Styela clava: one gene and its partner. The protein of the gene in region 1 interacts with the protein of each later gene in a pairwise test. Links are inferred from orthologs where the notes say so. Each region holds a gene or a part of one and is shown in the gene's direction. Other genes may lie near its edges.

Evidence for each region.
Region 2: the proteins of prefoldin subunit 3-like (region 1) and prefoldin subunit 5-like interact in binary tests that used the Drosophila melanogaster proteins (3 or more experiments, as listed by UniProt). The link is inferred for Styela clava from reciprocal best matches to the Drosophila melanogaster genes mgr and Pfdn5.

Annotation. Positions count from the first base shown.
Region 1 is NC_135259.1:21,589,544-21,606,911, reverse strand, and holds prefoldin subunit 3-like, read left to right. Parts: upstream 1-8,319; 5' UTR 8,320-8,452; coding exon 8,453-8,506; intron 8,507-10,830; coding exon 10,831-10,878; intron 10,879-11,360; coding exon 11,361-11,504; intron 11,505-12,520; coding exon 12,521-12,619; intron 12,620-14,604; coding exon 14,605-14,817; 3' UTR 14,818-16,328; downstream 16,329-17,368. Other genes in the region: uncharacterized protein LOC120338412, read left to right, coding at 275-3,089. UniProt on the Drosophila melanogaster protein: Binds specifically to cytosolic chaperonin (c-CPN) and transfers target proteins to it. Binds to nascent polypeptide chain and promotes folding in an environment in which there are many competing pathways for nonnative proteins.
Region 2 is NC_135260.1:7,616,025-7,632,508, forward strand, and holds prefoldin subunit 5-like, read left to right. Parts: upstream 1-10,960; 5' UTR 10,961-11,043; coding exon 11,044-11,493; 3' UTR 11,494-11,984; downstream 11,985-16,484. UniProt on the Drosophila melanogaster protein: Binds specifically to cytosolic chaperonin (c-CPN) and transfers target proteins to it. Binds to nascent polypeptide chain and promotes folding in an environment in which there are many competing pathways for nonnative proteins.

The DNA of each region.
Region 1 (17,368 bases):
CATAACCTTTTTTTTCAAAATAAAAATATAGATCTGTCATTTATTTAATTGGATCAGAGAAAATATTACAGAATAAATCTTGTGAAAATAAAATGCAACACCTTTGAACCACTCAATACAAATGTTTTGATTCTTGCTACCCTAGAATACATTCGCATACCGACCCACCAACTACTAACAAAAAGCATATTCGTGTGGCTTATTCATCTTATATTAAATCCTTCTTATTCTAGACTCGATCTAATTACAATTTCATATTTTTTTTTAATTTCAGGTATCAAAGTCAAGGAAGCAAGTTGGAAGATTTACTACCAGAGAATCAACATCATATAAAACACACAAGACACTCAAATACCGCACCAAATTTACCAATAGACCACATCGAACATTACACAAATGAGTTTGCACCGATACCGGTGAGACCAAGGTCATCTGAAGGTTATTACAGGCAACGTATTCATGACTACCATCATCAACCACCGCATTCAGTTACTTCAAATGAACAAGCATTATCTGCGTACCATCACAACCTGTCACCTTTGACCCAGGAAGTACCTGGGCAGTTCACTCGCCCTTCCGGAAACGCGCGGATGGGGTTTTCTGCTCCAGAAGGGTCTCTCGCACACACCAATCAACAAAGCGAAAGAAAGACTATACCAGCATTTCCCACTGTAGTACCACCAATCCCTTCCGAGCCGCTCGGGCCCGTGAATCAAATATTGTCGCCTTCGCAAGAAGTTACGTCTAAAAAATCTAACGATTTCGTCGAAAATCAGACTATTTTGATTCAATCCGACGGGCAAAACCATATAGATAAGTTAACAGACGAAATGTCACCTTTGAAGACAAGCGACTTGCGCACCGTTGACGAAACTTCAGTACCTTCAAGTGCACATCCTCCACTGAAAAAACAATTATCGAACGAGTATGGAAGTCTAATTGACGTGTTATATCAATACAAGCAAAATGTTCGGAGTTCGAGGAAAAAGGAAAAGCCATTAGAGTCGCCAGAGAGCCGTTTGAGATTCGAACGCGAAAAATTAAAAACGAAATTGAAAAAAGAGCTTGGGCCGCGGCATAGGCAGTCTGACAATTTGGAAATGGTTATTGAAACTTTACTTTATTTGTGTGAGACTGGAGATGCCAATACTGTGACCAAGAGAAGGCAGCGTGAAAATAACAGCAAACCGAAATCTAGGCCGAATTCAGCATTCGTCTTATACGCAGATGACACTTATCAGCACCACTGTGATGGAACTAAAAACAGAGATATAGACAGTAGTGACGTAACAGAGAAAGGACAATCGACGACAGCAACAAACCAAAATGTCGTCAAGGAAACTACTTCTCCGTTGCCATTTCAAAAGAGGCGACGCTATCATGACTATCAGGAAATTGAAATTCCGAAAACGGCTCCACCTATCGTTCGCAGAACAGAATTTTCATTTCCATCTGAAGAAGAGCTCAATCGTATTTTAGAGCAGTCAGACCCTACACCCCCTATACCTCCTCCGAGAAGAAACAGAAAAACTAAAAAAGATAATATTGCTGTGTCGTTACCACTGTCGCCTGCGTCTTCCAATGATAACCAACAGACTAACCTATCTCCTCCGCCCATTAGCGAGTCAGGAATTGAAAAAGAAAAAAAATTGGGTAAAAACGACACAAATGATATCGATGCATACGCTAAAATAACACGAAAGCATCGAAGAAGTTCATTGCCTAGTATGCATTTAACAGAGAGCGAATTGAAATGGTATACAGAGATTGGCGGGGCAAATGAAGGGAAAATAAACAAACACAGAAGCAAATTTGAGAAAAACGGAAGAGAGGCAGTGGAGTCGAAATTCAAATCTACTCGAGAAAGAAGGGATTCGCAAAGGTATGTTATACCACCAAAACCAAAATTGGTTGTTCATGAAAAACTTTTGGAAATTGAAATGAAAAGTTCAGATGAAGATTTGAATCTCGATGACATTCAGGTCGACGAAAAAACAGACGCTGAAGACATTATTAAAGAGATTGAAAGACGAATGTCCGAACGAGAGAATTTGGAAAATACATCAGAAAGTAAGCAATCTCAACAATCCCATAGCTCACACAATATCAAACGCAGTGTTCCTTCTGATTCGGACATGGGCACATGGAGCAGTGTTGCTTCGAGTGAACTTCTCCCGACTTCCCCCAGGAAAAGATTGAATCGTTCAGAAGGGAAATACCCAAGTAACGAAAGCACACCTTTTACAAGCCCCATTCATATGAATGATGGTTTTCACACGCCACCGCCAGATGGCGAAAGGGTCCAAAAAGTATACTCTCCGCCTATTTCACGAAGAAATGAATCATTATCACCGGTTCGTAATGTATTTCATACTCCCCCCACCACCCCTCACACTCCACATAGACCGAGTCCACTCATATCAGGCAGCCGCTCGATTTCAGCGACAAATGTCGCATTAATGGGGCGACGGTCGTCTTCTCCTACGCAACAATTGACTACTAATAAAGCGATTGCGCAATTCAACCCCAGAAAACAACCCCATTCAATTAAAAACAGCCCGTTACAACACAGAATGACACCTAAACCATCTTCAAACCCCGCTACCCCCACTTACCCCCCCGGAACTTCACTTAAAAGATCCTCCTCAAAATATGCCCCCAAATTACCAACAACCACTTTTGTGAAATCGAAATCTGAAGACTCCCCGTCAAGATGGGACGAGCGAAAAAGAACGTCACGACGAGGAGAAATCATATCTTTACCAGACGACAACGAGTATTCAATTCCTTGGGACTGTCAGCATCGTGACGTCACTAAGGTTGCAATCTCACCCAACCGTGACATCCCAAGTACACGTGGTCATACATCATACAGGATTCCCCATTACAAAAGTTCTCCGAAATTGGCGTTAAGTCGTTCAGATAATATTGGATTTTTCCCTATTACAGAGGATTCGTTATCCAACAATGGTAGCGATTATGACGATTATGCTTTTCCGGTGAATTCCCCAGTCAGTTCTTTAATCAAACAAAAGAAGTATTCAAGAAGTATTGAAAATATCTTGAAAGATTACGGTACAGAACTGTAGCAAAGTTTAAAACAATAAACCTAAACGATACCCATAACCCAAAATTAAGAAAGAGCAATGCACAAAAATATGGACACGAGAATCGGTACCGGTACTGTCTTAGCTGAGCATCGGCGGACAAGCGTGGGTGAATAAAGTGTAGAAAAGGTGATAAAAGTGTTACCATGAATTGAAACAAGAAAGCGATGTTCAAGTATATGGGCACGAAAGCCAAAACAAAGTAGTACGAGTATGCAATCTGTCACAGTAGACTACCTGTGCGGCAATCTTCACGACTAAGGCAAACGCGGAACCGACACAAGGTGCGCAATTTCAGATGACGTCATCGCACAAAATAAAACGAATTCCATAGAGCCCAAAAAAATTTTGAATCAAATAAAAGTAATAAATAGCCTTCAAGCCAAAAATAAAATCTTTAACCACTGAAAAGTTCAAAGCAATTGTCCAGTAATTACCGAGAAGAGCGGTAAGTTATGGAACGTGAATATCCAAAATAAGATCAAAGCTAACAAATATTTTTTTATTTAATCAACTTCCCGCCCCTAAAAAATTGTCTACGTTCACCTTGTGTGGCGGGCACCACCGTTTGAGAACTATTACTGTAACCCCATGCTTAAATATAACTAAATTTATCTATGCCGTGTTTAGAGATATATATTAGCTTTAAAAGCAAACACTTCTATCTGTATATAATAAAAATGCATTTTCTGTTTTCATGTTATGTTAGATTAACCAGCATATCTATATGTATTCATTTCATCAAATATTTTTTGAACTAGGAAAATTTTTCCCTCATATAGTTCACTTATGGAATATTTCTCCCCGACAAATCCAACCCTAACCTATATTAAAAGACTTTCAAATTAATTTGCGGTGCTCCCGAAGTATGTGAACCAAAATGGCGGACACCGGAATGTAGTATGTGTACCAGGTTAGAGCTAGGTCATAATTCCAGGTACAAATACTATGAGAGTCACTTGGCTAGTCCCCGAACTCGTAATAGAACTAAAATATAGAAAATTAGAATAAAAGTATGTTCTAACCCTAACTTGGTACACATACTACGTTCCGTTGTCCGCCATCTTGGTTCACATAATTCAGGAGTTGCTAATAATTTTCTGAATAATGTCACTGGTTTTAGAAATTTCTGGGAGAAATTGTCCGGACATCGATTTTTTTTTCATCTCGTTTACTTAGCAAAATTCGTCGATGAAAACCATTTTTTGTTTTAACTTTAATTTTATTATTATATATGCGAATAAAAATTATTCTATGATTTTGTGTATTTTATAGACCTTGTGACACAGTTTTCGTTTTAATATTTATGGTTAAATTTTTTCGAATTTTTAACATACCCATGTTCCTTACCGATATTTATGTATTAATATAAGAATCTTACTGACGTTTCATGGCTTGCTATCAATAATACTTTCACCACATACTCCATATCCTATGTTTATTATCAAATCATTTATTTTTTCTTCGCAAAATAGGCCTTTGATTTTCATTCAGCATTGATTATTCTGTACAGTATTTTTCATTCATAAAAGAGTTGTGTGACTCTGTAAGACACAATTTTAAGACTTGCTAAACTAAAATTATTTATCAATGACGAAGCACTTTTATGATCGAATCAATCCGACCCGAATATTGACCTACATTTTTATGAAAATTTTTCACGCTTTACTTTGTATACATTCGGTCAATTGTGATGCGCAAAAATTTATTATTGTTTTGAATTACTTATTTTTTCCGGTTTGGCCTACATCAGCGGTCAACCTGGCCCGTGGCAACCTTAAGGCGGCTATAATGCTAGGCGTAAAACCTGTTTTATATTTTCCTCAAAAAAAAAACCCCGGTTCATTAGTTTCATTACTTGGTAATGTTATTTCACAGAGTATTTTCACTTTGTTGAGCATGATTTGTTTGAAGTTAATAGGATTTGGAACCTACCAATTAAAATAATACTTTAAATGCCATTGGAATGATAAACAGGGGGACGGACCATGAGAGCTAAACCCCTCCAGAAGGAGAGCACGACCAATAAAAGGTTAGGGGCCACGGGCCCACACTCTTTGGATGAGGGGGTAGACATGGGGTTTGAACGTAAGATCTATAACCTACGACGCAAACACAGTTTTATTCTTCCGAGCCATCAGATTAGTCTAGTATTCAATGAATTAATTTCAATCACAAATTATCTAAACTGATCTTTTTTAAAGAAAAATCATGATATATGCCGCAAAAAATGGCAGGACATTCCTAACTTGAAGTCTAACCCAATTATAGCTATAATTATATTTTTTTTATTCTAGTTCGAAACCTCGATCGAGCGTGTCACCGACACCCTATCACTTATAGCCTATTTAGGCAAAGTATATTTCTGGTTGTAATGTCATTATGAGATTCTATTATCATATTTTTACTTTATTCTCTTAAGTTCTAAAAGTTTCTTGAATTAAATAGCAATTTTAAAATGGTCATGTTTAGCGTACGTGTTGTGTTATAAATTGACGAAAGAGGTTTATGACGGGTTGTCCCATGACTGGTATCCGGACGAAAGTTCGTAGCTCACCATGTGATTTAGTCGTCTTATCAGCTTTCCTCTTACGCGGGTTTGATATAAAAGTTGAATGCTTTTGAATTCACGATCAAGTACATTCTTCGTCTGCCGTAGGAGGTTGCGGCACAAATATATCATTGAACAAGAGCGCGATACTCCAAAACAAAGTAATTTTGGTGTCGTTTCTTTCATTTATGACTTCTGATCTATTACTTGAAGCCGATATCTATTTCACCCAGGTTGCGCTATGTGAGAAGATTTTCCGAACTTTGAGTGCCACGTGTCTAAGACTCATACGTTTTTACATTCAAATTTTTGTCACATTAACATAACTTTCATCAACTCCGTCAGTGACAGAGCGGGGCAAAGCTGAGTTTTGGTACAAGAAACTGGCGTTCGAATGATTCCGAGAACGTTCCGCTCAATAACAAGAGGCATTTAATTCCTAAGCAGATATATATTTTCGTTATTTAGCAGCAGGCCTTTCCTGTTTACTTTCTAATCCAGAGCGAAAGGGCAGTCTGCTGTTTAATGGAAATTTAAGACAAAACAAGACATACCTTAATCAAACAGCGAGTACATACAATAAATAAATAAAGCGATATGGATATACTAATTATACTAAAATCTAGAAGGCCATTGATAGCAATTGTAAAACATTTCAAATAATAGACGAACATGCTTGTAATTAGATCCATTGCATAATGTAAAAAGCTATACGTTGCAATATATTATTACGTTGTTATTATTTAAATTCCTGGGGACGCGTAATTCGTTTAAATTCTCTCATAGGCTCCACAGCTTGCGAATTGCACAGATTGAATGTAATTAGTTATGGGAATGACAAATTAACCTTATAATATTTGTTGTTATTGAATATTCCATTCGTCATTCGAAGATTCGTCCAGCCCTACTCTGGACATATCGACAATTCCTACAAGCTAGCTAGCTACTCGACAACGTTTCAAACGAAAATTTGAGAGTGAGTTGAATTAAGTTTGAATCGAAGAACGTCACTAACTTCCGTGTTAGCAAGCATCTTCTGACATCTACGTCAGCGAATCTCAGCATGCAAAGTAACACTGAGTACTGACTGACAGTACTGACACTTGGTAATTACAGATCGAATTACTTTTGCCGAAGTTACGTTTTGCACAAATCAACTTACATACGACTCCAACACCTGATTGCTACTGTCTAATCTCGCAGAGGCGAGTTTTCGGGCGATAATGGTAATTTATATGCCGGCCTTTGATATTAATCAATGAATAATTGCCCTGCGGGATTCGCTGGTCCGAATCCCACCGGGGTGATCATGATCACTCGTACCACACAAAAAACGCGTTTTGTACAAACAGCATGTAAAATGAAGTGAAAATGACGCTTCCGGGTAAAGGTTGATAATGTTCGAGTGCGCGAGGGTTTCTGGACTCTTTGTCTTTACAGTGTGGTTCGGTAACGGCTTCCAACCAAACCCATACATCTAGCTAGGATAGGAAAGGATTTTACATATTTGACCCCGGGGAGAGGGAAGCCCTACCACGGCCACTCGTCCGGTTACCAATCAATGTCGGGTATGGGATTAGTTTGCCAGTTATTTTCTGTTTTCAGACACAAGGACTTGTTGGCCGAGCCGAACTAACTAAAACGATAGACTGTAAAGACATCAGCTTTTACATCATACGGTCGGACGGCCTCCTTTAGGTTTTCGAATCCTCGCCCGGTGTTCCGTCATTCTAGGCACTGTGGCGGAGTTAAAAATGATTTATCTAATCAATACACGAGTAAATATAAACTCACCCATAGAAGTAAGATCCTGACCTGATGAAAAAATGAAACGTATGTTGCCGGTAGCCTACTTGAATAAACAGCTTGCGTCGCAGGCAGTGTTGTATCCGATTAAACATTCAAACCTCTAACGACATTGTAAATGAACTAGAGAATTGTTACCCGAATTTTTTCATCATTTCTAGCCTGAATAATGGCTATCACAAACATCCAGCTTACAGCGTGGCTTTCACAACAGATGCTTCTGGCTCCTTTGGTTATTTCCGAAATAATGGCCAATAAGCAATTGGTTGACGGTGATGTAACAATTGATTTTTCTCCAACCTTTTTTCACGCGGACAGAAGAAAAGATTGGCACAGTTCCGCGGTTTTCTAACCTTTTTGTTAGTTTTTAGTTGTGTTTGCTAAATTCAAGTATATATGTATTCAGACTGTCTCCCGAGGAGTTTTACATTAGTTGCAATATCAGTTTAGTCAGTCAAGATCAGCTATCTCTTAATATATTTCATTTTGAACAGGTCCATGGCGCAAAATGTAACAGCTCATAGGACAAACACGCAGGACGGAAATTTAAGAAAGTTGTCAAATCTCTAAATGAAGTTCGGAAAATGAGACATAAAGATACTACATAGACCATTTCATCTTGTGAAATAGAATGTAGGTGAAAACAACTCACTCGTCAACTGGACTTTAAACTAGGTACCTGAACTATAGCTTTAGGCAGATACAAAAATGTTTCTCTAATAAATCCTAAATGATTTTTTTAAGAAATAGTATTTTTTTATCATTCGAAACGATTTTTTATGGCATTCGCTGAAATGACTATTTTTGGTCGCGAAACGCATGACTGGGTCAACGATTCGTCGTTATAGCGACTTCACAAGTCCCGACCATTCCTTTTGGTAGTTTCGGTCAGAAATTGTCTTCATTTTGGGCTGTTTTGCTATTATTGGATTTGTCGAAAACTAGGAAACGAACTTGAACATTGGAAGTTTTCAAAGGCTAGTTAAATATGGCGACTGAAACTAAGAAAGCTCACCTAGGGATTCCGGAGGCAGAGTTTGTGGTAAGTCATAAGTTTGCCTGTCTCCAGGTCTCAGTGCAGCAGTGTCTGTCCGGCGCGGCGGTGTGGCTCAACGGGCTACGCGTTAGGAATACGCTCGCCACCGCACCTCTAATTACTCTGCGTGGGTTCGCAGGTTCGAATCCCATGCAGGGATGGTTATGTGCGAGAGGATTGCTGGACTCCTCGCCGTCGTTGGGTGGTTCACATAACCGCTGGTCGGTTACGGCTTCCTCCACCACCAAGTCCATGCTTCCGAAAACAAACAATACAGTAAAAACTAATCCCATACCCGACTTGGAATGGTAACCGGACGAGAGGCCGTGGTTCGCCATATGGATAAGCCGTCTTATCGGCTTTCCTCTCCCCCGGGATAAATATGTAAATCCTATCCTATCCTTGCCGTCGTTGGGTGGTTCACGTAACCGCTGGTCGGTTACGGCTTCCTCCACCACCAAGTCCATGCTTCCGAAAACAAACAATACAGTAAAACTAATCCCATACCCGACTTGGAATGGTAATCGGACGAGAGGCCGTGGTTCGCCATATAGATAAGCCGTCTTATCGGCTTTCCTCTCTCCCGGGATAAATATGTAAATCCTATCCTAACATAATAATCAGACGAGAATATCGGTCAGAGACCAAAGACATATCGATCGAAACTGCGGATTCGATTCATGACCTTATAGTGACATCGAGTGTCCCCTCACTAATTAATTAATAAGTCGCTAATTATACGACATAATTCATCCAAAATCTATAGACTTTTGGTCTGAGGTAGGATGAACGCACATGCAAAATTTGGAGCTGATTCAACCACACCTTCGTGAGATATCGCGTGCATCTAACAGACAGACAGACAAATACCTTAACATACCTTAACATCAACATACTTACCGATCTAAAGGTCGATAAGTCATAACGTGATCCATTAACGTTAAAAAAATATTGATCTGGTTCTGCGGTTCTCAATTCATACAGTTTACAGACTGCTGGACTAGTAACGTTTTGAAACAAATTTTGCCAACTTAGAGACTGGTAGACCTTCAAACTAAATTACAAAAGTTGTAAACACAAAACAAATTCTTAAATTGTCTCTTGTCCCATTACTGCATTACCAGTTCATTCTGCCCAGACTGGATTCCATGGCAGATGCACGCCCGAGGGCGCTAGCGCTCCACAAAAATGCACGCGAGCGAATTCAATTTTGCACGCCGAAAATTTGCAATTGCTCATCAATGTAAATCGGTTGAAATAGTTTTTAAATCAATAATCTAGTAATATAAAGATGCCAAAAAATTATAACTTTACAATTGTCGACTAATACTTGCTTGCAAGATTTGGCCTGATCGAAAAATGCGAAGCAAAAATCACCATATCGTGTTGAATGATAGGAATCCCGTGAGAAAAATCGCCTCCTCACCGACGCTGGCCAGTTATGGCTCTGATTCAGCGTATTTTTAATACAATAATTTTACACGGATGTACTGAACAGTACCGGTATCTAAAGTCGCTCAAACACTCTCAAAATTAGTGACAAAATATAGAAATGATGTTTTGGGGGTCAAAGGTCAAACGTCCATTTTTGCTATGATCCAACTTATTTTTACGCGGATGTATTGAGAGGTATCTTAGTTCGAAATCAGTTTAGCGGGCGCAGTTGTTTTGCACGCCGTGAGCTATAATTGCACGCCAGAAATTCTTATTTGCACGCGGGAATTTCTGATTGCACGCCCGATTTCTCGTTCGAAAAGGCCATGAAATCCAGACTGGCATTCTGCCAGTTGCCGGTATTAGTTTCAGATGCATGGGGTGGCTGGTGGAAGAAGCCATACCTGACCAGTCTGCCAGTAGTTATGTGAACTGCCCATATGATGGCAAGGAATCAAGACATCCTGTTTATCTTGCGTTAAGTTAGCTTATTGCCCAGGCTGAAAAATTGACTCAGCTCGACCGTGTGGGCATCATGCTAAGTGTTAAAAATACGCTCGTCACAGCAGCTCTAATTACCCTGTGGTAATAATTCTGTGCGAGAGAATTGCTGGACTCCTCACTCCGTGGCAGCATGGGGGGTTCACGTAATCGCTGGCTGGTTGGCTGGTCCTGCCTTCCTCCACCATCAAGTCCATCTGAAAACAAATAACTGACTAACTAACCCCATACCCGACATGGACTGGTAATCTCGCCAAAGGCTGTGGTTCGCCAAATGATTGAGCCGTCTTTTTAACTTTCTTCTCTTCTGGGACAAATATATTAATCCTATCACCTGACCATTTTCAGATTTTACATCCATGACCTTTATTTAAACATTGCTCTTTTGTTTTTAGGAAGATGTAGACAAATTCATGGCAGAAGAGCCTGATTCCTCAGCACAGGTAACAGTAAGCTATGGTTGTATGGTTGATTGAACTGACACCTATCTTACTACCACTCTCTCCGCATTTATGTTAGTGGATTCATTCACTGATTGCGCACGATAGCAGATACTGTCTGACTGTAGCAAGAACTCTATGAACTCGGCTCTCGTGTAGTTTCGTACCCATAGTACTTCTATTGGGTGTATTATAACCGTTTCTGATTTCCTTGTTTATTCCCGTAACAATTACAAATCAGCCATAAGTTAACAATGACATAACAATTGGAATTTATGTCGCCACTCAGACACTTCTTTCGCTCAGACAGATATTCAAACGTGGTTGTAAACATTGCCTTTTTTTGGTTTTGCGTGTAAGTAAAATGATAATCCCATTAATTTCCATCATGCGAACATAACAGAGATATGTCACTGTGCTATGACCTCCCCTCCACTTCAAAGGTATTACAGCACGCTCAATTATCCATTTCTTGATTATTTCAGGGGGCTTTGAAAAAACTTGAGGAACGTTACCAGAAATACAAGATGATGGAGATGTCGTTGAATCATAAGAAAGAGAAATTGAAGAATCAGATTCCTGAGATCAAAACAACTTTAGATATTGTGAAGCATTTGAATGATATTAAAGTGAGATCTTCATTTTGGACTTTCCTGTTATTTCCCCAAAATTAATTTTTATTGTAAGTTAGAATAAGATTTAAATATATTTATTTTTTGGGAGAGAAAAGACGATAAGAAGGCTAAATCATATGGCGACCTATGATCTCTCGTCCGGGTACCATTTCATGACAGGTATGGGTTTAGTTAGGTAGTTATTTGTTTTCGGAGGCATGGACTTGATGATGAAGGAAGCTGTAACCGACCAGCGGGCACGTTGATCACCCTTAGAAGTATCGTCACATTGGATTCTTACCTGCGAACCCATGTAGGGTAATCAGCAATTTTAGCATGATGTGGCCCCCCGCTGAGTTGGGGTGATGGCCAGTGTTTCCCAATGAGTGGGTCGCGAAGGACAAACACTGAAATACAGAAAACTACTGGAAGGCTTTTTAATGCATCCTTGCCTAATCCGTTTTGAAGTTATTTGTTTTCGGATGTTGGACTTGATGAATAAGCAAGCCGAAAATAACAAGCGCAATACCAAGTAATACCAAGCGCAAATAATAACTAAATATCCGCATTCAAGAAGATAAGTCCCTGATTGGGAAACACTGATATAAAGCTTTATTACTTATCGATTTTAATCGGTAAGTATGTTGATACGTATTTGTATGTCTGTATGTTTGTCTGTTAGATGCATGCGATATCTCACGAAAGCAAGATTGAATCTGCTCCAGATTTTGCATGTGCATTCATCTTATCTCGGACCAGAATCCTATTGATTTTGGCGAATTATGTCGTATAATTAGCGAGTTATCAATCAATTATTGATATAGTGATCTAGATTTTTGTAAAGCGAGAGAATTTTGAGACCCCCCGAGTGTGTGTGTGTGCGATGCGCAGTGCGCAAGTTACAAGAGCGGATGAATCGAAACTGCAGTTTGTGTTTTGGGGGATCCCCTAACTATCGATCGATAAGTCTTCGGTTTCCAACCGATATTCTCGTTTAAGTGTTATTTCAATAAAAATTCACTGATTTACAGGACAAAGATGAATCAATGGAAACTCATTTCCTACTTTCTGGTTCTCTCAGAGCAAAAGCAACAATACCACCCACAAAGGATGTCTGCCTATGGCTTGGAGTAAGTATATAGCTTGCATGTTTATCTGGGAGGGTTATGGTGGGTTTTTATTACTTATCGACATACAGGTATTTGCTTGTCTGTTAGATGAACGCGATATCTCAAGAAGGCGAGGTTGAATCTGCTCCAAATTTTGCATGTGCATTCATCATGTCTCTGACGAGAAGCCTAAAGTATGTCGATAGGTATTTGCCTGTCTGTTAGATGAACGCGATATCTCAAGAAGGCGAGGTTGAATTTGCTCCGAATTTTGCATGTGCATTCATCATATCTCGGACCAGAAGCCTATCTATTTTGGATGAATTATGTCGTATAATTAGCGAGTTATTGATTTATTAGTGATGGGACACGTGGTGTCGCTATAGAGTTATGAATCGAAATCGCAGTTTCGATCGATAAGTATTCGGCCTCCGACCGATATTCTCGTTATTTCTGTAATAATCATCTGGGCCAGGGGTCGGCAAACTACGGCCCGTGGGCCGGATCCGCTCGGAGCAATATTATAATCCGGCCCGCGACGCTTCACTGAATTATATTAACAAAACAGCTGTATTGACGATTATATTCTTTACGTGACAGAATTTGTTTTGAGACACTAAAATGTATTATAACCTAACAAGTATATAATTCACAATCACTCAGTTTAATGAGCCTATAATTGATTATAATTAGACAAATGGCAACAGAGCGAAAGAAAGTTGATGCTGAATGCAATTGGTTTAATGACGCAAAAAATATTCAAATGATCAGTCTTCTCGCACTGCTTGAAATTTAACTGAAATCTGTGTGAAAAAATGTGATTCATTGGCCATTCCTTCGGATTTTAAATTTCTAAAAATATGTACGGCCCGCCAATGACAAAAGTTTGCCGACCCCTGATCTGGGCACACATAATAAACTACTTAATCTTTACAAAAGCGGAGTGCGCATTGCGTATAAAGCTAGATAATGATCCATTAACCTATTCCGAGCGGTGGGCACGTATACGTACCCACGACAAAAGTCACTAGATTGCGGCGGGTACGTTGATGTACTTCACTGTTTTATTTAGCAATGGGTCGCAAACTGTTGGTCTAGTTTTTCCGGGTTTTAGTTTATTGATAAGAAGTCTTCTTCGAGATTAACATAAGCGACGGTAAATCTCGCTTTGGTTTACGCCGGGAATTTTATTTGCGGCGAACGAGGGAGTGTTTTTGAAATTTATGCAAATTTCAGTGTTTTTTGGGTGGTAATAGAAGACATATTATCCCTTCCATCTACCAAAGTATTTTGAGTTAGATCACGAAATTGCTACAGCAATATTATGCTATTGTTTGCCAACCACAAAGGATTTAGGATTTAGCAAATATTTCTATTTTTTATCACGGTTTGAAGTTTCAACTCCTAAGCAAAAAAAAAAGGCTTTTTTTTTATATCCGGTTTGTGACTCAGACGACCACTTTTAAAAAAACTTGCCAATTGCAAGCTCTTTAAATAAGCTTTCCAACGAGCCGTCAGTTGGCAGCAGAGGATCATTAGTTTTTCGTTAGTTGATCGATTAGTTGTGGGGGTACAAATGCATAAAATCGGCGTAGCAAATACGATTATTTAATAAAAAATAAAAATGGAAAGGGTTAAAGACCAAACAAATAAAGTAGTCTCATGCATAAGGAGGGAGGGAATGAGGAATTCCAAAATGGGCAAAAGAGAGAAATTTTTTTAGTATGGAAGAGTGTTGAGCCAACTATGTTAGCAATGCTACCCGTAATCACAAAGAAAAGTTTTTCTCCCAAAATATTTTTATTCCTCCCCGTTTGGGAGCACTGATTTGAAATGAGATTTACATGTTTATCCCAGGGGAAAGGAAAATCGATAAGACGGCTCAATCATATGGCGAACCACGGCCTCTCGTCCGGTTACAAGCCCATGTCGGGTATGGGATTAGTTGCCAGATATTTGTTTCATAAGCATGGACTTTCATTTAACGAATCTCTAATCTTTTTCAGGCCAATGTCATGCTCAACTACTCGGTGGAAGACGCTTACGATCTTCTGAACAACAATTTAAAAACTGCTGTCAAAAACCTTGATTCCGTAAACGACGATTTAGATTATTTACGTGACCAGTGCACAACGACAGAAGTTAGCATGGCTCGGGTTTACAATTGGGACGTAATGAAGAGAAAATCCCTCAATCAAGGGACAGTAACCGCCAAATAAAGACTGATTGTAATCGAAGTCATTGTTAAATTGAGCTATGACAAAATTCAAATTCTATTCCTGTGAATTTCGGCACTCCCGTAGTATGTGTACCAGGTTGCACTATAATTTTATCCCGATTTCCCTTATTTAAGTTCTTTTCCGAATTCGGGGACTGTCTGTGTTAGCCAAGTGAATATAGTCTCTGCCCATAGGCTTCAGTCCCTTTACACAACTTGATGTTAAGTAGGCGAACAAAATTAGTTACCTCCATATAGTACATACACTTCTGCTGGAGTGCGGGAATTTCTGCTTTTGAATTCATTCAAGATTTCCTAGTTTTGCAGTGATTATATATACGACTCTGAAGTTTAGATTTCTTCAAATATTTGAACATATTTTTCATATAACCTTGTCTCAAGTAAAATAAGGAAAATCGGAATAAAATTATAGCTTAACCCTAACCTGGTACACATACTATGGGAGTACCATAATCTCTTTATAAAGGGGCGGCTGGCATCTTTGTTGAGTAAAAAGTTCAATTTAATGATTTCTGCTATTTGTGAATTGATCAATATTTGACATTTCAATTAATTAGTGTAATGCCAATATTTTGTTTGTAAACTTCAACATTATTACTCCAAACTACATTGTCCGTCCCGTCTTGAAACATTTAACCTCTGAAACAAAGTTTGGTACTCCTGTAGTATGTGTACCAGGTTAGGCCATAATTTTATTCCAATATTCCAGTTTTATTACGAGTTCGGGGACCTGCCCATAGCTATCAGTCCCTTTACACAACTTGATGTAAAGTCGGCGAACAAAATTAGTCACCTCCATATTGGTACACATTCTTATGGAGCGCTCAAAGCTTATCCTATCCCTGGTCTATGTGGTCAAAGTCTATATATTAGAAATATTGTGAGGAGGACTTCCGTCCTTGTCCATGTATAATTGCGTCTTTAAATTTATCAAAATCATGGATGTTTCTCCGACCTTTGACCATGGAAAATTCAGCCTATACTTCACTATTCCAAATTTTTTTGCTTATTTTGATAGTGTTTCGGAGAGCGCTCACAAACTGGTTTACATGTTCATGACCACCTTTTTTATTAAAAACATTTAACCATGTGACGCTAACAAGTACTGATAGCGAGTCTATTAAAGCCTTTTAGCAGCCAATTTTTGATTATTGTAACTAATCCGAAGTTCATGGGAAGACTGAAATTCAAGTTTTTTGATTTACAACAAATTTTTGAAACTGAATTAAAACAGATAACACACAAAACCACGAATACGATGCTAAAATGCAATTCTCATGTCATTCTTGACTTATTGGTGATTGGTCGATGTTAGGGAAATAAACATGGAAATCGAGACTCTGGGAAGCATCCATTGTCTTAAGATTTTTTCGAAGCATTTGCCTCTGGGCTATGTTTCCTTTCTAAAATTATTAAGGCTTTGAGGATATCCAGCCTTTTCATAAAAATCCTCACTTGCTGTGTTTTATAAATAAAAAATGTATGCATGTCAAATATGTTTGAGGTTATCAACACAATGCCTTAGTAGGAACTAGTTGGATTTTGTGTTTTTCCCCATAAGACAGGTGTGTGCAACCTTTGATACAGGAGATCCACTGGGTTAATCCGCGTGTCACAGTTTCATTTAACATCGGCTTTCTAGTAGTTTCAGGCACAAAGAAGTAGGGCGTTGTAACGTCAAGGCATATTAGACTCGTGTATAGGTTTGGAATTATTTGCACGTACCAGTTGAACTAAATTAAAAACTACCATTCAAAGTTGCACACCCCTCTCACAAGAGAAGGAAGTTGGCTTAATAAAATAGTTGGACTTAGCTATGTACAGTGATATTCCCACCACCTTCCTACAGGAAGTGAACACCCCTCCTAAATTTCGAACAATTTTGAGGTGCGATTCCACTCTGATTCCTAACTCAAGTATAATTGTATCTAAATATATAGAATATGACAGTGTAGAGCAGATCATTTGCCAAAAACGACACATTTTTATAAGTTACAAATAATTTTTTCGCTAAACACCCCCTAAATTTCTTAACAACCCCCCCCCCCCCCCCCCCAAAAAATAAAAAGCTGAGAAACATACTGGCTATGTACAGTAGGTATTGCAGAATACATGTCTCTAGTTTAAATCCTGTGACAATCATCTCACTCAGGATATGATGAATTAAAAGCAATGCCAAACGCGGGAGAGATTTAGGTGATCTCAGAAATGGTAGTCCCTTTGTCAAGGGGTCAGCAACCTACGACCCGTGGGCCATATCCAGCTTGTGGAGTGAATTAATCTGGCCCTGCGGTCCTTCACCGAAATTTAGCGACAAAACGGTGGCTGTGAATTTCACCCATAGTTTGATAATCTAGGATCGCGGTGCAGATTATGTTGTTGTTGTTCTTAAATAGTATATGGTTACTCTCGTAGTATGTGAACCATGATGTGCGGTACATAGTATGTGTATCAGGTTATGCCATAATTTCAGGTACAAATACTACGGGAGTCACTTGGCTAGTACCCGAACTCGTAAATAAGGAAAATTG
Region 2 (16,484 bases), on another chromosome or scaffold:
CTGTGGCCCGAAGAAATTTCATTGCTCGATTCAACTCGGATATTTGATATTTTTCATAAACAACTTGATTTTTAACATACCCGCACACAACGCAGTTTTTCTCATAAATGGCTCTGTTGAAACTTGGCCTGGGCCGTGGTAGACTACCTGAACGTGGAGAACGGTTCTGATAACTCTCTCCGTCGCGTAGATCAGCTGATGTGCTTTTCAAAATCCTTTCAAGATGAGATTTCATCGTGTATGCTTTGTAGCTTGATAGACAAATTTCTCCGTCTCGTAGATTAGCTGATGTGCTTTTTAAAATCCTTTCAAGATGAGATTTCATCGTGTATGCTTTGTAGCATATGATAGACAAATTTACTCTGACCAACAACTTTCAGTCGCTTGCTTACAACGTCATCTCTAATTAATCCTGCATTTCATACCCGTTTACGGCCAATTTCGGTTCCTACTATTTTCTCAGTAGAAGTCTCTTGGCGGATTATACATTTTGAATCATATACTAGGACGGTCTGGTCAACAACTCCTGTAGACAGATACACGGGGTTCCTGCTGGTCGCTATGTTTTCCCTAACTGAAGTCAAAAAACAGTCGCCAGAAAAATGTGCATATTACAAAGTTAAATGGAATCGCGTTGGAATTTCGTGACCTTTTGACCCCTGGTAACCTCAGTTGAACTCGTATCACCCCCAAAAAATAATTGGAATGAAATAGCATGCCAAGGAGAATAATTTGTGAAATGTGCAAGATTGTTAGAAAAAAAAAAACTACTAAGATAATGGACATTCTATTTTTCATTCCCCTAATTCATTGGTCGAAATGTATGGGCCGTTACGCAAGATATAAATTCGGATTTCTCGCTAATTGCCGGATTTCAGGAATGGTAACCAAGGTTTTCTAATAAGGGTAGTGACCCTCTTCAAAATTCCAGACCTAAATCTCGGGTACAAGTTTTGCACACGAGATCGGCCACAGCGGATGCATTAAGCAGCACCATACAATGGTGATGTGCACGTTCTGACCAATTGGAATAGATGTTTGCACAAGCACTTTATTCTTGTTGACGCGGCTCTATCTGATATGGTTTTTTCAAAATCCGAAACGATTGTCCAAAAGATGTTTATTGTTGAATAATTTAACATAGGAAACAGTCAAAAGTTGGTGAAATAGTAGTCAAATAGAAATCCGGTGAAATACAGTTCTTTCGCACAGAAGGGACCAATTATATATATCGATATGAAACAAGGAAAACATAATTATTGAATGTAAATTTTAAGTAACTCTAATTAAGGATACTAAGCACCCCCGATTAGTTAATATACAAATTTACGCGTCCCACATCCAAGCGGCTCACGCCGAACAGATCGTGCCAACGCCAAAATGGTCAGAGTTCAATGCCCAAAGTTACCGTTGCCAGTTTATTTATATAAGTGAAATAATAAAAGCGGTTGCTGTTTAGAATCATGGCCGATACAATGATGGAGCCAACATCGATAAAATTTGCAAAGAGTGACGTTTCATATATGATAAGTTTGGAATGACCCTAGTAATCGACAACCTCAATTAAATTTCCTTGTCTATGCATCCATTTATCCATGAATAAAAACGGGACATCCTTGCTTGATCCTGTAAGAACCTGTGTATTCTCATAACCCAGCGTTTCCCAAAGGATGCTCTGCAAAAATTAACAAACTTGTGTTAAACATAACCAATATATGATTGAATATTTGCCATATTGTATTTATTATAAATGTTTCATTTTTTCTTAATCTAAATGCTCTGTATATGAATCAATAAATTCATTTGACCTTCCTATGTCGTTTACCTTCTGTTACGTAGAGTCTGCCTCTATTGTAACAAGGGAGATATACACTTCTTGCCTCAATTTCTTGAGCTGCAGTTTAAATATCTGCTGAATCGTGTTTAGCGAACATGAGTAATTTTTTCAGCCAATCAGGCAGAGAAGAGTTGACCTTTTGTCTTTATTCCTTAGTCCTGCATGTTTAAAAACATGAAGTGCACATTATTGATCACAAAATTGAGTTTTTGGACACGTTTAGTGGACATAACGATCGTTTTGTTGTTATGTTGTTCTTGTTCTTGTTGTTCTTTGACAATTTTCGGATACCTAGTGGAAATATTAAAAAACCGCTTTTCTCTTTGATCACTAGACCAATTGCTTTGAAATTCCTAGTGGTTAAAGATGAAATTTCTCCAGAAGGCTATTACTTTTATTTATTTCAAATATTTTTGTTAGCTCTGTGAGATTTGTTTTTGTTTTCTATGACGTCACCGAACGTTCTGCGGACATCGGACGCCATTTTGTGTCCTACTGTACTGCTTCGCTTGGTGTAAATATATTTGTAGACTGTGATCTGATGGTACGGTAAACCGTACTGTACTGCGAACAGACGTGTCCATATATTTGGGCGTAGCTCTCTTGTATTTAAAAGCAGCATTTTTTCGTGTGAGTGCGCCGTGAGTTTTTTCCCTGATAATTTGACGCCGCACAAATAAAAAGTTGGGGAACTGCAGCCATTATCCTATCTCAGTAATCAGTAGTTTATTTCTTCAACATGCTGAAAGTACGAACTCGGTACCATACATTAATTAATTTTAATTACTTATACTGATTAATAATATTTGGTACAATCTGAACTCTAATTTGGCTATATTCCCACTTTGGTGAAGTGGTTTTCTTTTAGAAATATTTTTCCTATACGTTTCACTCCTGTTAACTAATTCGTTATCCAATTTGGCTATACTTAGAAAATTATCAATACGTTATGGCAAATTTTTTTTTTCAGTTTTATATTTTGTTTGTATATTTTTCTTTTTACGAAGTTATATATCTTATGTTACTCTTTTTTTTATATCTCTCCCATCTTAGTTTGTCTGCGTGATTCTGTGTATGCGTGCGTGTTTTAATCAACTTAATGTCAACCACGCGTCACTCCTCTTGACAACACCTTTCAATCCAAAATATGTACGTTTTGAACCCTATTTTTTCATTTTTCTGATTCTGTAATCAGTTTATTTATTTAATTCTATCAATTATTTTATCGTCCTTCATGATGATTATGGGGTAATAATAAAGGCATATTCACAAATATTCACAGTAAGCTTTGTAAATTCATAGGTTGGCAATATTACTGGTCCTTGCATAAGATGTTTTCTCAAATATTACCAAACCTAAAAATGTACCTCAGGATGCCCTAAGAAAAGTGGAAAGATACTAATACAACAACAACTATAATGCAATTTTCTTGCTCCTTTTTTCTAGTTGACAAAAAAAAAACTAGACACATGGCAGAGAGTCACAAGATGTCAACATTGAGTAAAGTTCTGGTTGTCGTTATATTTGCATGTCAACGGTACCGCAACTGACCATGGCATGTGTGTGTTTACCGTAGTACCGTACTGTAGTATATGTACGGTAACTTAGGTTTATTTCCATCACTGCTTGTTTTCATAACAAAAGTAAGCATACCGGTACCACAACAATATCACTCAATGTATCAATTATTTTATCGTCCTTTATGATGATTATGGAGTAATAACAAAGGCATATTCACAAATATTTACAGTAAGCTTTGTAAATTCATAGGTTGGCAATATTACTGGTCCTTGCATAAGATGTTTTCTCAAATAATACCAAACCTAAAAATGTACCTCAGGATGCCCTAAGAAAAGTGGAAAGATACTAATACAACAACAACTATAATGCAATTTTCTTGCTCCTTTTTTCTAGTTGACAAAAAAAAACTAGGCACATGGCGGAGAGTCACAAGATGTCAACATTGAGTAAAGTTCTGGTTGTCGTTATATTTGCATGTCAACGGTACCGCAACTGACCATGGCAGGTGTGTGTTTACCGTAGTACCGTACTGTAGTATATGTACGGTAACTTAGGTTTATTTTCATCACTGCTTGTTTTCATGACAAAAGTAAGCATACCGGTACCACAACAATATCACTCAATGTAGCCGAACTCATACCACAGTACCGCCACCGGTAGTACAAAATCGGTTCAAAATGCTACTGGTAATGTCAGATTGTTCTAAAGTCATATAGCTGTATAGGCTATTACCGGTACGGTTTAAAGTGCTAATGTCAGATTGTTAAGTTCCAAAGTTACATATCACCATATTATGATATTGCAATAATAGTGACGATGTTCGCTTACGGTATCTTGCAAGTGAAAACAGTATTGCATGTATCAAAATCAACACGAAAAAGAAACTCATAGCCTACTTATCAAGCAATAATGAAAACTCATCAATTACCGTACCTTACTGTAGGTCAGGCCTACTCAACTGACGGACCACCTCGAACCTTTTGGGTATTCGATTCGGACCGCGACTAATTCTTATTTTGGATCATCAGTCCCACTTTTGAAGTTTCCTTTTATTAAATCACTTTTATAGATTTGAATATATATGAAAAGAACTATAACGCCATAATAAACAATCTTGATTAACTAATAATCATTAGCCAGCCAAGGAAGCGCATGTTTAAGGATGCTGAAATATAATTTCTGAAAAGACCGGAATGGGCAATTCCAGCGTTACTTTCGTTACATCTGTGCAAATTTTAAACTGACTTGGCCAAAAGCCTATTACAAGCATTCAAGTCATAGTGTTTGTAGTTGTATATGGCCCTGGGCTTGTAACATAGGCACCATAAAAATGGCTCTACTATGGACTACTTTCACATAGACGAGTCGCGAAGCGTCGTTACTTGCGTTACAGAAAAAGGACACTAGTTTTTTGGACAAAACTTTGACATGCTCCCCATCTCAAGATAATACCACTAACTAACTACTTTTTCCCATGTCCGAAGAGATTATATTTCAGATGTAAAATCACAAAAAATTATGTGAAAAACTTTCATTTGAATATTAAAATTTTCATAAGGAACAAAAAATGGTCCGTTACTTGCGTTACGTTACTTACGTTACAATCATGGTCCAATTTTTAGTTTATTGCCAAGTTTGACATTTAGTCAATATTTAACATTTAATTTCTTTAAATTTCTATGTTTAAATTATAAATCCATAATTAGAAGATAAATTCTGAAAATAAAATAGTGTTTTAAGAACAAACTAGCAATATAGAACTATTTGCTTGGCAAAGAACAATAACATGAAAAATAAAACAAAAAATGAATGAAACTAACAAACAGTCAAAGGTAATGCATTTGATATTTTTACTATAGCAGGGTTTATTTTTATTTATATTGCCAGAAAGAGGTATATGCTAAACATTTCAGTTCTTTTACGTGTAGTAACATTATAACAAAATATATTATGTTAAATGAAATTGCAGACAATGTAAAAAAATCGAATTAATGTAGAATAGCTTTTACTCTATGCTCGAGTTCACTGAAGTTCGCAATAACATAGTGCCCTCTATTGTTGATTGGAATCGGCTTCTCCAGTTGTTCAACTATGTCTGTGTTCATATAGAAAATGGAATCTTGGGTAATTGGCCATTTCCAGTTCTTACCAGCCCTCTCCATTACCGAGACCTTGAATTCGTTCTTCTGTATACAAGTAACTTCACCTGGGTATAAATTTCCTTCGTAGCGAACAGCTACCCAATCTCCTATTTTTACACTAGAGCCTTGCGTACTTCTTTCAGCTGCATCCACATTAATATCTCCTGTTAAAAATGATGTGAGGAGTTGACCATTTTTAACCTCCATGTGGTGAATTTTGCTTATACCATGAACAGACGAGGCTTCAGCAAAAATTTTTTCTAAATCCAGTTTATAGCTTATCTCTTTAATTTGCTCACGCGTAATTTCCATGCATTTTATATTTTGTATTGCCATGGTAGCTTCTGTAAAAGATTTTGCATCAATGACATGATGTTTTCTGCATCGGACTTGATTCCATACATATCTTTTAACTGAACCACCGATACCATCGACTGGACCTTTACCGTGCGATGTAGCAAAAAAATTCCAGGATATTGATATATTGTGCACACTTTCCAAGGCCGGCAAAGACGCTAAAATATATTTGTTTTTGAATTGGGAGCTGGGACCATCTGACCAAATTTTGACAGATTTGATAAAACTAGGTAATGTGGACAAAATTTTGCTCAGAATTGGAATTACTGCTTCTTTTGAGTGACAAAGATAATCTGACACCACTGCCATTGAATGAATTTTTCCCCCATACCACGCTGCAGCTGTAAAAATACTAATTTGCTGTTGCTGCCAATGTGCACTCTGTATCTCATCTTGGTTAACGCAAGTATAATTTTCAGCAAAATCAATTTGAATTAATGCTTCACTATTACTGTACGATGCCGAAGTTGATAAAGTATTATCTCGATCTAACTTGTAACGCATAGACTGCTGCCTTTTAATATACGAGTGTTCCAAAAACTGCGGTAACATTTGATATACATGCTCCAGAAGATCATTTACATCACCCTCCTCCTGAACCTTTTTCAATCTAGAATCACTGACACTATTCTCCCACACATACCAGCTCACAAACTTATTTTCAAAACCTTCCAGTACTGCACCCCAACTCATTTTAAATCCTGCACCATCCTTGCATCGCATACATTCATTTTTCCAGCATTCTAAATTTGGACTAGCACAGACAAATGTGTTTACAATATTTGTGGTATACGATGGAAATTCCGGAATCACTTTATGCAAAGAATTAATTGCACAAATAAAATTCTCATGATATTTGCAAAGGCAAACATTATGAGGCAATCTGGAACTTAAAAACACATTTTTTGGTCTAAGTTCTGCAAACTTACTTCGTCCTATTTTTAAATGCGGGAATTCATCACGAAAAAGTTGATATACTTCTGCGATGCTAGATGTTAAATGACGTGTTTGTAGCCTTTCTGTAAACCCATCTTTTTTTATTGATATCACATCCTTTTTTCCAGGTGCTTGCCGGCTGATATCGTCTCGCCTATAAAAATCTGCAACAGCATTAACTGTAGATTCTAATATACCGGTACGACGTTTTCTATCAGTTGATGGATTGCCCTGTTGTTCTTTATCCAAAATTTCCCAATATAGTTTTCGAACTACTGCCTTTTGTCTATTTGGAGTACTAGGCAGTGCAGTACGCATCATTCGCTTTGCCCTTGCAGAAGCCTTTGCAAATGCCAAAGCACTCTTGAATGGAGCATGGTTTTCTTTGGCCTGCTTTTTCATCAACCTGTGTTTGGCAACACGCATCTTTACTGCATTTCTTCGCTTTTGCTTAATCATATTTTGCTCTTTCACAGATAAATTATTTTCCTTGTTTCGTGACTTTTCTCTACTTCTCCGTACATATTCTTTCTGTTTTAACTTAAATTCTCCTATTTTCCCTTCTGCCTTTTGTCTCTCCCTGAACCGCTTCTGTCGCTCTGCTGCAGTCAAAGGCATTTTTTCGGTACTGGTACTTTTTGACTAACTCCCAACAGCTGAATCTAGATTCTAGACTATATAATTTACTGCAATAAATGGGATAAAAACATCTAAAATAGCCAAAAAGTGCAGGGTAATGTACCTGGTAATGGTCTTTGTGTACCGGTAAGGTTTCCACCACCACAATATACAAATAATATCTACAATTTAGGGTTGCCAGATATCATGCATTTTATTGTGGCCAGTGGCAACCTATTTCTTCTAACTTGTTTAAGTGATGTGCCAAAAATTAGGTATTCTCTGAAATTAACTATAAGGAAATATATAAATAATAATTCAAAATAAACTATCTATTTATAACTTATGTTAAAACCATAATTTTCCATATATTATATCTTTTTGATTACTAGAGTCTGATTTATAAGATTTTGTTACTTACGTTACAATTGTTACTTGCGTTACATTGTTACTTGCGTTACAAAATTTGACATTGAATATTAATTAATATATACAATCATAGTAAGTTAAAATGCACACATATTGGCTGTGTGTGTGTACATAGGATGATGGTATATTGGCAAAAAATGAATTTCAGTATTTTTTTACAAACCGTAAAAAATGTCGAAAAAACGTTACTTGCGTTACCAAAAAATCGATATCAGTAAATTGCTCCCACAGATACCAAGGGGCAGTATTATACAAAACTGAATGTATCCTGAGAATGGTGATAGCCCTCTAGTATAGCAAATAATTCATGTTCATTTGTGTTTGAATTATTTAGGTTAAAACTTAAGTTTTGTGCCAATGGCTCAAAAAGCTAGAAATTGAGGTCAATGCCCCACCTACTTTCAACAAGCTTCATTTTTTTTATTATCGAATATAGTTGTGAAATAAATTAAGTTAACAAAACTCCAAGATATATTTCATGATAATATGGGTTGTTTCTTTGGGATTGGACACTTTTATTTTTTTCAAGTTTGTCCCTAGTTCCGTGGAATTGCCCGAATGAGTTAATTTCTGGAAAGACCCCAATATTTTTGAATTTTGTATGCGGATCTTCGATAAAAATAGTTGAGTAGCCCTGCCGTAGATCACCAAGTGAGGCACAACTTTTCGTGATAACGGTACCTACTGGCTACTGTGGCAGTTATTGTTTGTAGTTTAGGATACTGGTATGGTACGGTCCCTCTGCGTACAGTACAGCAGTAGTATACAAACTTCCATAGCTGCATATGTACCATAGTCTAGTTTGAATAAAAAGTTAATGTCCAAAGTTCACTTGCTGACAATTATTTGAAAATGTACGGTGATGTTTGTCTGATTTGAGTGTAATTTTCATGATTAAATGCTTTTTTTGTTTGATATATAATTCCTACTGATTTTGTTCTGCGCGACTAGATCGGCATACCATATCTCTTACAGCAGGCCTGCCCAACCTTTTTTGCCTCGCGGGCCACTTTCATGTGACAAAATTCGTTGCGGGCCGCAAACGTTTGTACCAAACATTAATACAGCTAAGTCCGGATTTTGGTGTAGGTAATTTACATAATACATAAAACGCAAGTTTATCAAAAAAAATCAATCAATTTAATAATTGCTTTCTGGTTACTGAGTAGGGCTGGCAAATTATTCGAATATCAGAATAGCAGTTTACTATCGAATATCTGGTAACACGGGTCGTGGACATGACACTTGCGGTTTTCTGACGACCACGCGAGAACATACACAACACGTCGACATCGAGGGGTATATTTGCGTTAAAGTGTTTCTATTCATTACTTTTCAGTAGCAATGTTTAAATGAGCGTCGCGGGAATATCAGGTTATGTGGGCCGTTCTGTAAAATTTGAAACACCAATTACAAGTATTTATTGAAGTAACATTACAAAGATTTCTGGACGAACAGCCTATATATGCTGATTTGTGACCAATATGCAGCAATGCAATTAAGTCAATTTCATCTGAATTATTGACGGATACGCAGTGACGACATTTCCGAAATCTTATTCAACCCAAACATTAGATAAAAAATACTAACATAAAAGGACAACAAGTCCCAGTACCAAAGAAATTGTTGACTTTTTATTTTACGTTGGACAGCCTTGCCCTTACAGTCTTATGACAATTGGGGTCTCAAACAAGCTAATAAGACTTCCCCCAAAATATATTGCCAAACTTTATCTTAGTTCATTTTTACCACATGAAATTCTTGATTGGTAACTGAGAGTTGTATGCCGCTACTGAGAACAGAAAAATAAAAGCGATACTTAGGAGAAGCAGTTTGAGATCCTATCATAAAAAACTGAAGTAACTAAAAAGTTTTGATTTTTATAAAGCCAATATAATATGCATGTTCATTGTTCAACTACAAAAAATTTTTATTCGCCGCAATGACTCTATATTGCAGATATATATTGCACTTTTGAGTTTATTGAGATAATTCAAATCAATTCAAGATTAAGTAAATTTAACATATTAGATGCTTGATTCCAGGAATACTTTTAACCAGTTTTATTTATAACAAAAAACTACCAATCTAATCAATTGAAATCTTTGAATATTACCAAAAAATGCATCGACTTCCACTTGCAGACTTGTCTCCTTTTAAACATTACCCATTTTCAATATGACAATATTATTTTGGGATTTATGGTAAATTATTCATGCTGCATCTAAACTAAATATTTCACCTTAGAACTGGATTTTGGCTCCATAGCCATTTTAGATGTTTTTTGATACAACAACGAAACATCCTTAATGCAGTTTTGTGGCTGTGGCTAGAGATAATCATGTAACTATTCATTGGTGATCCTGTTGTGGTCACCCTCAGCATACTGTGGGTTCCACTGTAACTCTGCACCATCACAATCTTAGGTTTATTGCCCATTGTTAGACAATGCACATATCACAATGTATTGTTGTTATATAGCTCACTGCTTTCATCTCCTTGGTTATCGAGTTAGTGGTGCTCGAGGTCGTATTTTCTTTTGGTGAAGTGAACGACTGCTGGTTATAGCAGATAGCTTCGTGATATTTTGTGTTTTTTTTTTCAATATACATATACTTGGTTCCACTTTTTCTTCATTATAATATAGTGTTAGACTTATTTATGGGTGCCGCTGCTCGATAACCAGTAGCCTACTGTTTTTCCGCATTTCCTCCACCCTGCAATATGGCCTGTTTATAATTGATTGCAGTTTGTATGTTTGTGCCTATTTTCAGTATGGTAAAATATAAACTACTGGTTACTGAACTATTTTCCTAGTGTCAAATATAAGCACCTAGTCAACAATTCACTTTTATAGTGATCTCATAGAAATTGCATACAGATTAAAAATAAGTATAATATCCAACTTATGATGAGAATCCTTGTACATGTTCACAACACGAACCAAAAATTCTTTACAAGAAGTGTAATAGAAGAGAATTGAGATTGGCATGGAGCAAGTATCACAATGATTGTAAAAGCATAATCTTTCTAAGTTAATTCAACTTAAACAGAGCTATATCTACTCTTCTAACTTTTTATACTACTTGCTGATACCAGTCTCTAAAACCCAAATTTTCTCTCTAATCAGGGGCTTGTGTTTTATTTTACAGGATCAAAAAAATAATATTTACTTGCTTATTTATATATAGCGGAACTGGAATTATGACTAGTGCTCCACAGCAGATAAATTTGGCAGCATTGCCAACACACGAACTAAAACATCTTGTTGAGCAAATGCAGCAAGAAGTTGACATATTAAGTAACAGTCTTCAATCACTGAAATCTGCACAATCCCAGTTTGCAGAATCTAAATCATGTTTGGAGCTTTTGCAGAAATCTGAAAAAGGTAAAGAAATTTTGGTGCCGATGTCCGGTTGTCTCTATGTCCCAGGAAATCTCAATGAAACAGAAAATGTCATGGTTGATATTGGAACAGGATATTATGTTGAAAAGAAAACAAAAGATGCTGAAGAATATTTTAATAGAAAAGTTGATTACTTGAAGCGACAAATGGAGTCTTTGCAAACTATTTTGCAGCAAAAATTTCAAAATAAGCAAATGGTTACAGAAGTTCTTCAAACAAAACTCATACAACAATCGCAGCAAAAATAAAAATATTGTTTCAAATGTAGTAGTTTGTGGTGCACATCATGGACTGCAATATTAGTAGCCATCACAGTGTCATGGGTTTGCTTCTAGATCATTGACCATATCACATGTCTTTTCACATTTATCATTTTGTTTTCATATGTAAACAGGGAGCAAAACAGCAACAACTTTTTTTTTCTGGCAGTATATTGAGGATATTACTTTTTGCCTATGATGTCATAGAATGTCATGTTATTCCAGTGGACAAAAATCTCATTCTGCCCATTGATTTGAGTTTTGTCAGATGAATGATATCTGCTATTCACAATAATAAAAATAGTTTAAAATGTAAAATATTCAGATATTGTCGACGAATCTTTTAGCTATGTGAAGTAAATTGCTACTGAAAATATGTTGCTAATGCTAATTTTGAACTTTTTCCACACAATTTCGCTTTCAACACGGAAATATTTCCATTGCTGAAATTTAAATGATAAAAAACGCTTCTTCTGTGAGATTTTTTATCTGCATCTGATACCTTGAGAAAATTGGATACACATAAAACTGCAGGAATGTTCTGAAAACAGCTTTGTTATCTGATTAATCTTATGTTATCATTATCTTCTCCACAATTGTAAGTCATCAGGGGCGAAGCCAGGAATTTTCGAAGGGGCTTGAAATTTTTAATTGCCAAGTCTGACCGTAACAACCTAGGTCTGTCCGGAGGCCGAAAAACGTCGGTTTTAATTTTTTAACGTTATAAAAAGGGGGGGAGGGGCACCCGCCCCTGAGCGTTGAGTGACATCCACGTACCTTTACAATGTACAATTTTATCCGAAATGATTCAGTTTTACGCAAAAATTTAAAAATGACAGGTTCAGAATCAGTTTCCAGTCTGCTTAAACGTCACACTGCGGTTAACTGGTTTATTTTATCCTGCTTAGGGTTAAAGTATTCCCCCTGTAATTCCCAGCTTTACTCACTGGGTCTTCCTGTATGGCTTGCTAAGCTGACGAATGACTGTGGTTGCCTTGTGATAATCGCATCCTGAAAAAAAAATTGTGCAATTGTAATTAGGGTTGGATTATCCGGATAGCGGTTAACCGAGAGATATTTTGATATCTGGATATTATTGTAAAGGTTAACCGGATAATAGAGAAGTATAAATAATGCATATGCGCATTAGTGATTTTTAGATGGAACCACTCAGAGCAGTGGTTCCCAAACCATAGGTCGCGACCTACTGGTGGGTCGCAAACGGAATCTTAGTGGGTCGTGAAAAGATGTAGAAAGCTTTGATTAATTATTACTTATCGATTTTAATCGGTAAGTATGTTGATAGGTATTTGTCTGTTAGATGCACGCGATATCTCACGAAAGCGAGATTGAATCTGCTCCAGATTTTGCATGTGCATTCATTATATGTCGTACCATAAGCCTATTGATTTTGGATGAATTATGTTGTATAATTAGCGAGTTATGGACCTTTGACCCCCGGATAATTCTTTCTATACTTTACCATTGCAAAATTTTCAGGGGTATTTTAAGGGTGCTTTTGCGAGTTGGCGCCTGTAAAATGGGGTATGTGTTTCAAACCATCATTATGATTCATCGCATACAACAATCTTTTAAAAGTACCGGTAAAGAATTTCAGGCTAGTCTATCACAGCTATTTCTACACTGATTTTTATTACTGCAATCAAATTAAAACTCCTAGGAAGACAGAGTGATCATTGAATTATCTGATTTATATTTAAGTTTCCGAAACACAACTGAAAACTAACGAATAGAGTTGAAAAACGCGGAAACGAGGTAATGTTTACAACCATACTTAAAAATCTGTCTGAGTGAGAAAAGTGTCTGAGCGGATGCGAAAAGGGGGCATTGTTACGTCACTTTTTGCATCTTGCTGATTGGCCAATGTCACGAAGTAAACAAGGAAAACGATGCTCGGGGAAAGGTCCATTAATTAATTAGTGATGAGACACAAGGTGTCACTATGGAGTAAGAGCGCTGTTTTGGGATCCCCTAACTTTCGATTGATAAGTCTTCGGTCTCTGACCGATATTCTCGTTATACTGGTTATTAGGATCGGTGACGACTCCAATACGTAAACCTGCAAAAAAACAAATTAAATTTAAATTCTAGTCTGTCAAAGTTTCCTTTTTACGATCTTCCCAATGGAACAAAAATTGCTACACAAAGACTAACCATGTGTCTTTTTTACGCATAGCAGTTTTGTACACTGTACAGCAATCGTGTTTCCTAGAAATTTAGACAGGATTTAGATTTATTTTCCTCTGAAGAATAACCTATGGTGTTTTTTTAGAAGATGTCTTTTGAGTTCATTTATCAAAAATGAAATTACATTGTAGAAAATCACGAGATTTTTTAATAAACATTATACAAAAATCGACATCCATTGTTTTTATTTGTATTTCCTATACAAAAATCAAGTGACAAATATCATAATTGTGATTGTGACATCACACAATCTTGAATAGTAGTGTGATCTTCAACTTACCTCAGGTCATTGAACCTTCCCTCTGCCACACATTTTAAATTTATTTCAAGGGTTGGGTTTAATTAAAATCATTTTTGAAATTAAAATTAGGTCTTATTTTCAGGCCAGGTCTTATTTTCGAAGTAACACGGTGCTTTACGATGATTAGCCATTTCTGTGTTATGTCTTAAAAAGTTAAATGGGTCGCCATAAGCTGTGGTAATAAATAGTGGGTCGCAACTCTTAAAAGTTTGGGAACCACTGTCTCAGAGCATTTATTTAATCACTCATATCCACACTACCCTGCCTTTAGTCATCTGTGTAATGCTGGAGTGAACTTGGCCATTACATCACAAAACACGCAGAACAAATGTGATTATTGCGTATTTGCGTTATAGAAAAGCTCGACTTACGTTACGTTAAAATAAAATCATTTCTACTCTAGATATAAGAATACGTGGTTAGCTGCACGAATAAATCCAATTTCGTATTTTTGCGATCTTGCAAATTTATCAAATTTGAGCTATTATTGCAATTCCCATGAGTATAATTTATTTAGTACAATAAATGCAGATATTAATTAGCTCATACATCAACATTTTCGGGAGAAAAGTCGGGTTCAGTCTCGACGGTATACAACGCCGATAATTGGTTTCGCCCGGAACTAAAATGGCCGCAGTATGTTATCTATCGTCGTATCTATCTAACGTTAAGAGAGTAGTTCTGAAACACACATTTTTAACGGAATATAAGGAAGTAAATGCTAACGAAAATACCACGACACTTGATTTATGAGCCAGTGATAGATAAAGCAAAACTCTATTTTAGGCGCCTTTTGTATCGCCAAAATATCGTAATAATTGTATTTACTGAATTTACAACAAGGGTAACTTTTCACGAGATGTAACTTCTTAGCAAATTAAAACTGTGCCGAATTTAATTCCCCAAATAATCACCCGACGCGGAAGAAAACGATCGGCGATGAAAACAAAATTAGCTTGTAAAATCCGACCGAAAAATTTGAAAAGAGATGGAAGTGCTGTTATTACATTCATGGTTTCCAGGGAACTCTCTTTGTTTGCAAGATGCAAAGTTTAATTTAACAGACTTTGCATCGTGTCATGTTTTTCATTTACTCATTTAGGGTGGTAAGTGAAGTTTTCAAAAACTGGTGCAGCATTGTTTTGGCTCTGTTAATTAAAGGGTATTCGGATGGAAAAAGATTGCAAGTCGTGGCCTAAATAGTACAAACGTGAGAATATTTACAGTGAAATGTTAAATAAGTGAAGTTTTCAAATTAGAAGAAATTTCTGACTAGTTCGTTTTTTTTTTCAAAATCATCATTACGCTTTGTCATTAAAAATTTCGTTCAAAATTTAATTTTCAAAACTAGTATTTTCTTATACACTTCACGGACTTTGTTCTCCCCCCCCCCCCTCCCCTATATTATATTTTTTTGGGATACTTCTCCCACTGAAATAAAATCGAAATGCATGATTTTTTGTTTCCATGATTTCATTTATATGTATGCTCTTATGGTATATATTCACAAAGTTTATTTCGTCGTGCAGGAAATCACAAAATAATATAGAACACTAAATAATATACAATACAATAATAAATTTCATTGCAATTGATAGAAAGGTGCGAAGGATCAGAAATGATCAAAATGAGAAAAGAGGCTCCAGACACAAAAAGAAACTTTCAACAAATTCAACTATGAAGTAGAAATAATATAATTCTTCACATATGATTAAAATAGAAGAAAATAACTTCGCGGTGGCGATGAAAGACAATTAGGACACAATATTTTCGAAAAATGTTTCATTTTATTATTCCGTTGTACATCGGTACGATTACAGAGCTTAAATTATTATTATCCGTCATCCAGATAATAAAAATTATAGGTATCCGAACTAACCCTAATTGTAATGTTGGGAATAATACAACAGTTTTTGTTAGTTCGTGTGTTTCAGGAATGAGTGGATTTTATCTCATTGGCGAGACCTTCCCCATTAGCATTCAACTCTGAAAAGTGTGAATTGACTTTCAGCAGCGTCCCATGTTTCTTAACATTTGTCTCGGATTTGGTCTGGTAGTTGATAACTGCCCATCAAAATTAGCAGAACAAGAAGGTCGCGCATCAGGTAATGCCTAAGCGGAGCAGCGAGTTTTCTGAAATATAGCCGGACAAGCGGAATAACGCGTTCCCGTTATTAAATGCCCTGGCCCCCCGTGATTTGAAATAAAACAGGTAAATATTTGATGGAGAGGTTCCATAGGTTCACTTCGTGTCACGTTGTTCAATATATCTTCCAATAAATTGAAAAAAGACATCAAATCGGCCCGCGGTACTAAGGAAAATTAAAAAAATGTAAAACTGATATCTGCCCTAAGTTTTAATATATTCAAGTATTGGAATTTAGAAACCGGTTAGTGCATTAGTTGCCGAGAAAAGCCGTTTTCCCATACAAGGGGTCAACAACAATATAGTACTAGTACAACGATCGAT